Linked DNA regions of Saccharomyces cerevisiae S288C. The protein of the gene in region 2 binds, or shares a complex with, the protein of the main gene of each other region. Each region holds a gene or a part of one and is shown on either strand. Other genes may lie near its edges. A codon is read from its position in the direction of its gene.

Region 1 (3,182 bases), 350 kb from region 2:
GTATTTTATCACCTGTTTTCAATGACAAATCTCCATCTTGTTGAGCTTCAAAATCATATAAAGCTTCAACGTACTCTTCTGTATCTGCATTTTGGGGCGATCTTTGGTTTCCATCCCATTTCTCAGGTAACTTGCTATTGATTAATTCGAAAATGTCGCCTGATATGACGTTTGATTCCTTCAAAAATTCTAATTCATTCCTTATATTTTTCAATGATCGATTCACTAGTGACGCAGACATCGCTTTTGTTTATTTTTGAAGTGCTGCCAAAATTAGATTGGAGTTAGAATCCAACAACAAGTAGGCCAAACGAGCAGGCCCTTTTTTATATTTGCCTCTCGAGCGATTCCGATCTTGAAATTTGCGCAAAAAAAAGTTTCTTCAGCCTTCCCCCGAAAGGGGAATCTTAGCGATTTTTTTCTTTCACTTTTAATTTTAGAGATATGTTTCTATGCGTACATATTTATATAAGCATGAAGTCAAACAATACTTTCCAACCTTATTTCATATCTTCATCAGCTTCTTCGTCTTCATCCTTCTTGGTAATACCAGTCTTTACCAATATATCCTTTATCTCTTGAGGCTTGAAAATCTTCTGATACACTTCTCCGTCATTAGCACCCTTTCTGATAGTAGCAAATTCCAACCTGTCATAAGTCAGCGCGCTACTGTCGGTAGTTTTGGATAACGTTTTTAAAGCCAGTTCAATGGCATCATCGACTTTCATATCATCCTTGTAGTCCATTTGAAGTAGGGTTTGTGCTGCTGATGTGTTAGCGCCAACACTAATAGCCTTCCACCCTGTATAGTTTCCCGATGGATTAGATGTATACAATTGGTAACCGTATCTATCGTCATAACCGGCGTAGATAAAGGACACACCAAATGGTCTTAAACCACCATGTTGCGTGTAACCTTGTTTTATATCACTTAGCCTTCTCACCAAAATTTCTACTGGTATATCTTCATTATAGGTTTTAAGGTAATTTTGAGCGTGAATTCTAGCCGTATTTATTAGAATTTCTGCATCTGCAGTCAGTCCAGCAACGGCAACCGCAATTTTATCGTTTAACTTATAAAGTTTTTCGGTAGAGGTGTCTTGTTCTAGTAAAGTACTTGTGACTTTGCGTTCTGCTGCAAGAACAATCCCATCAGATGCCATAATCCCAATTGCGGTACCTGCATGTGAAATGGATTCTAGCGCGTATTCAACCTGATATAGACGTCCCTCAGGGGAGAAAATTGTTGTCCTGGAATCGTATCTTCTGGAACCCATGTTTAACACTACTAACTATATCCAATAATCAATTATTAAAATAGAGACTGATCGAAAACTTTTTATAGAAAGCAGTCTGTTCTCTTCGCTCTGCCAATGTTTCCTTATTACATAGATATCCATCTTTTTATGCTTTTATTCTATAAATTTTTTGCCACCTGCAGGGTAACGAATATTTAACTGCCTCAAGATGTTATTACATGGCTAATTGTCATTAAATGAGGATGCAGAGAAAACATGAGCAATTCACTGCTCACTCACTGTCTCCAACATCGAGCTCTGCGAGTGTTATATATTCATGAAGTGGGATAGGCTTATCGGCTTTGGGCAATGGCAAAATCTTACCATCGTAGAACACCACCCTTCTTCCTGGAGGGTTCACCTGGGTGTCGAAGGAGTAATCAGCGATAAAACTACGCAACGTGTTAATAGGGGAACTATCGTCTTTGTTTGCAGGCTTTGAGGGAAACAGGTTTAACAATTTCAGATTCAGTTCAGAAGCTGGCTTAGCGTTTAGCTTCTTCTCTATGTCAGAGTTCTTCCTGCCCTCATGCTGCATAGTATCGGCACTATCCTCTTCTTCCATGGCGAGCCTTGTCTTGATCTTAAAGAATAAATCTTTGGCTTCAGGAAGGATGCCAATCCATGTCATCAGTAAAGTTTGAAGCTCAAAAGTGCATTCTGATTTGGTAAAAAAAAACTTGTCGTTCGCGATGAGTGTCTGCACCATGTAACAGATCAACCTAACCAAACCAAGGGAGTACAAGGAGATTTTCTCGCCGTCTTCATTCTCTTCTTCGTTATTTTTTGATGACAAAAAAATAGCAGCATTCATAAAAAACTCCTGCAGTAACATTTTAGTCTCAATATCAGATAATACGATAGGTCCTTGCCTTGAAAAGGGAAGTCCTGAAGCATCTTCATTCTTCTGCTTTTTCTTCAAGATCTCATATATCATATCATCCTTTTTATCTTGATCACTGGCTTCTCCGGAAAACGGTTTTCCACGTAACCCCATTATTAGTTCAAAAACGTAATATATCAACGAATGTTTTAACTCCAAATGCGTAAGGAACCATATCAATATTCTCCTATAACCGGTGCACATTAACATTTCATCCATTAATCTCCACGCAACGTCGTGATTCACGTTTAGCATCCTTTCAAATGCTGATTCTTCAGACCATATTTCATAAATATCATCCGGCGTGGTTCTTCTGAGATCTTCATTATCTATCTTGGACATTTTGGTATTTCCTTCACCTTCTACATCGCCGTTTATACTTGCGGAAAAATTAGACTCCAGGTCTGCTAAAATCATTTGGTCCTGCTCGTTCCTTACACACGATGCAACTGAACGCACTAACAATATGGATTCCTCCTTATTCAACTTTTCTGTTGCGCCACGTAGAGTCAAACTAAATATGACATCTAACTTAGGCTCATGGATGAATGAATAAGATGGCGAATAGTACATATTGAAATCTCTGGGAACGTCCCTCCAATCTTCCCCACTATAGTCAAATTCAAAAGTACTTCTTGATCTAACGGAAAGTGGGTTAGGTGACGTAACGACGTGATCAGAAGTGGCTGTAGTCGCGTTATGTACCGCATTCCTATTATTATGCATTGCGCCTTCAACGTTTTCGCTATTTGTTGACCCAAAGGCTTCATTTGCACCATCCTCTGCCACCAACTTATCATCATTGAAGATGCAATTGCACCGTCTCCGAAAGAAAACATTATTACTACCAGATGCTATTTTTTCTGTTGGGTTAACAACGCTTTCATCCAATCCTCCATGATCGCTTTCAGAGAAAGATTCATCATAATCTTCACATTCATAATCAAACATATATCTAATATCCTCATCAAATCTATCACCTGACTGTAAATCGGCAAATA
Region 2 (3,559 bases):
AATACATCTGAGGAGCATAGTAGTTAGCTGGCCATTGCATACCTGGCAACATTGCCGGGTTATAGTCGTTGTTATTCAGTCTGTAGCCATTATTGAATCTGTTATTGTAGTACTGTGCATTTCCTTGACTATTATTACGATTATTGTATTTATTTGTCCCGTATTTGCCATTTTTCGACTGGTATTGCTTGTTATTGTGAGGTTCCCTTGCACTGTAAAGATTTTCATTGTAGTGGTTATTTGGCTGACTATTATTGGCTCCAGAGTATTGGTTATCATGAGGAGGAAATTTCTTGTAGCCATTGGCTTGCTGCGGGTGTGGGGGCGGTGGACCTCTTTGGTCAGTCATAGTGCCTACAATTGATCTATTGTTCTTTGTAATAAATTCTTTCTTTCAGGAACAGTAAAAACAGCCTAAAAATATGAAGTCGCCGTAGTAAACGTTATCTTCTAGTTACTATCAACACAGACGCCTTTTTAAATTCGAGGGTCAAGGCTGCTAGGCTGAGTGGTCGTTTGCTGTGTTTACCTCTAATCAAAAACTTATTATCTTTTTTTTTTCAGTCCTTTTTGCAAAGCAGGTACCTACTATTTTTCAAAATACACTAAAGGAACGGGCCCCCCGGCTTACTATTAATAAGGTCAGGACGGGGAAAAAGCAGCAATGCTCTGCCCCTCTGTTCTCGAAAAGACAAACGGTTGTTATATCCTGTATATCCAGCGGTATAATTTTGCCTCTTAGTTAATGCTAAACTATGATATTATACACATACACTAAGTAACATATACAATGAGCCAAGTGAAACGAATACATCACTTGAACAGCTTGGCGACAGAAATGGCCGTTTCTTGGTTCTTGTTCATAACCTTACCCACAGCGAGTTCGAAGTCTTCTTGAGTAACGTGTATTCTTCTTTCTCTTAAAGCATACATACCAGCTTCTGTACAGACACCTTTGACATCGGCACCAGAACAACCGTTCATCTTTTCAGCAACCTTTCTCAAGTTGATACCACGAGTTAGATTCATTTTTCTGGAATGGATTCTTAAAATTTCAGCTCTAGCTGCGACACTTGGAGGTGGAAATTCAATCTTCCTATCTATTCTACCGGGTCTCAAAAGTGCTGGATCTAGAATATCTAGTCTATTCGTGGCCATTATGATCTTGATATTTTTAGAAGTTTCAAACCCGTCCAATTGGTTTAGTAGTTCTAACATTGTTCTTTGAACTTCTGAATCACCACCACCAGAACCTTCTACACGAGTAGAGCCAATGGAATCGATTTCATCCATAAAGATAATTGAGGGAGCATGTTCTCTAGCCATCACAAACAGCTCACGGACCATACGGGAACCTTCGCCGATATACTTTTGTACCAGTTCCGCACCACTGACCCTGATGAATTTACAATCAGTGTGATGTGCGACAGCTCTTGCCAATAAGGTTTTCCCTGTACCAGGGGGGCCATATAAGATGACACCCTTTGGTTGCGCAATACCCAAACTTTCAAAAAGTTCAGGATGTTTTACGGGCAATTCAATAACTTCTTTAATCTCCTTTATTTGCTTTGTCAAACCACCAACCATATCGTATGTGGAATCAGGAACTTTTTCCACCATCATCAACGAAACTAGTGGGTCAGCCTTATTCTCAAGAACTTTATGCAACATATAAGAGTCACTCCTTAGACAAACTCTTTGAGATGCCTTTAAGTCCTTCACGTTTATATCTTTTGCAACATCCACGATGTATTTTCCCTCAGGTTGCACTTTAACGAGAACTTTTTTGTCAGACACGATCTTTATAACTTCACCCACATAAGATCCAGGTTCCTGTAATAGACGCAGTTCGTCCTTGATAAAACGTACTTTGTCATTCAATGCATTCCTTTGAGCTTCCAGTCTGCGAACATTTTCTGTTTTGGAGCGGATCTTTAATTCTGTTTCTTGGATCTTCTGTTCAAAATATGGTTTGATACCACTTTCGTGGGTTTCTAATACTATATTGGAGGATGTTACAGCAGCTGTCATTGTCGTGATAGTATCCCACTATACTGTTGTTCCGTTTACATAAAACCTAACCTAACTGTTACTGATATTACAACTTTTGCCACCTCGCTCGCATTTTGACAGTTTTAAAATACGAAAATTTCCGAACAAGAATAAGGGTAGAGAAGTATGCAAAATATGATTTCATATTAAAAAACCCAACCGAAGAAAAAGGGAAATAGAAAAACAAGTTTTCAGTCGCAAAAAGAGGTTAAACAAACGAGTCAGAAGCCAGCTCTTTCAAACAATGGGTATTATTGAAGAAAAGGCTCTTTTTGTTACGTGTGGGGCAACGGTGCCATTTCCAAAGCTCGTCTCATGTGTGCTAAGCGACGAATTCTGCCAAGAATTGATTCAATATGGATTCGTACGTCTAATCATTCAGTTTGGGAGAAACTACAGTTCTGAATTTGAGCATTTAGTGCAAGAACGCGGGGGCCAAAGAGAAAGCCAAAAAATTCCAATTGACCAGTTTGGCTGTGGCGACACCGCAAGACAGTATGTCCTGATGAACGGGAAATTAAAGGTGATCGGGTTTGACTTTTCGACCAAGATGCAAAGTATTATACGTGATTATTCAGATTTGGTCATATCACACGCTGGAACGGGCTCTATACTAGATTCTCTACGGTTGAATAAACCGTTGATAGTTTGCGTAAACGATTCTTTGATGGATAACCACCAGCAGCAGATAGCAGACAAGTTTGTAGAGTTGGGCTACGTATGGTCTTGTGCACCCACTGAAACAGGTTTGATAGCTGGTTTACGTGCATCTCAAACAGAGAAACTCAAACCATTCCCAGTTTCTCATAACCCGTCATTTGAGCGATTGCTAGTTGAAACTATATACAGCTAGTTAGTAAGATTTTAAAAGACGAAAAGAACGGAAAGTAGGACAACTACCAAAAAAAAAGATGGAAGGTTTCTTTGGTTAGTTAGCAGTATCCGCGTAATGCCTTAGACGTTTTTGATCAGAAAAAAATAAAACTTGATTTCGCCCAGGATCGAACTGGGGACGTTCTGCGTGTTAAGCAGATGCCATAACCGACTAGACCACGAAACCAGTTTTTTGATGTTTCGTTTAGGGACAAGAGTCCTATGAGAGTCCACTAAAATTCTAAAAATAATTGTATCAACAACCGTCATGCAGCTGTTGTATCAAGAATCGACCACCATCTATAGACTATTGTTCATAGCTGTATTACAATATCATATAAGATGTAAGGATAGAACGTGAAGATCGAGAAACAGTCAGCAGATTTAATGGAAGCTGAAATGCACGGATTGATAATGTAATAGAATAAGTGACAACATAAGAAATGAAAGAAAAAAAATAACATTAATATAATTTAGAAATGTTAGTTTCCTTCTATGAACTCTCGTATCCCTGGGGAGGACTTTCAATATATTCAGTATACCTACCGTTCAAATGATACTCTAAAATATCATCTATTAAGTGGTATTCAGGTTTTTCCCACGCAAGATTGAGTGCGTCAGGCAAAGCCACGAT

The links.
Region 1: the proteins of RPT6 (region 2) and PRE9 are in contact, whole or in part, in a cryo-EM structure (PDB 6EF1), measured with the Saccharomyces cerevisiae proteins. Residues at the interface, in NP_011467.1 of Saccharomyces cerevisiae: Lys402 (codon at 828), Leu403 (codon at 825), Phe404 (codon at 822), Lys405 (codon at 819); in NP_011651.3 of Saccharomyces cerevisiae: His31 (codon at 1,187), Ala32 (codon at 1,184), Gly33 (codon at 1,181), Lys51 (codon at 1,127), Glu64 (codon at 1,088), Lys65 (codon at 1,085), Tyr67 (codon at 1,079), Val77 (codon at 1,049), Gly79 (codon at 1,043), Leu80 (codon at 1,040), Thr81 (codon at 1,037).

What each region holds. Positions count from the first base shown.
Region 1 is NC_001139.9:759,487-762,668, reverse strand, and holds PRE9 (proteasome core particle subunit alpha 3), read right to left. Parts: upstream 1,278-3,182; coding exon 501-1,277; downstream 1-500. Other genes in the region: LSB1 (Lsb1p), read right to left, coding at 1-241; CCR4-NOT core subunit CAF130, read right to left, coding at 1,531-3,182. UniProt on the Saccharomyces cerevisiae protein: The proteasome degrades poly-ubiquitinated proteins in the cytoplasm and in the nucleus. It is essential for the regulated turnover of proteins and for the removal of misfolded proteins.
Region 2 is NC_001139.9:409,256-412,814, forward strand, and holds RPT6 (proteasome regulatory particle base subunit RPT6), read right to left. Parts: upstream 2,032-3,559; coding exon 814-2,031; downstream 1-813. Other genes in the region: TIF4632 (translation initiation factor eIF4G), read right to left, coding at 1-349; N-acetylglucosaminyldiphosphodolichol N-acetylglucosaminyltransferase catalytic subunit ALG13, read left to right, coding at 2,297-2,905. UniProt on the Saccharomyces cerevisiae protein: The 26S proteasome is involved in the ATP-dependent degradation of ubiquitinated proteins. The regulatory (or ATPase) complex confers ATP dependency and substrate specificity to the 26S complex.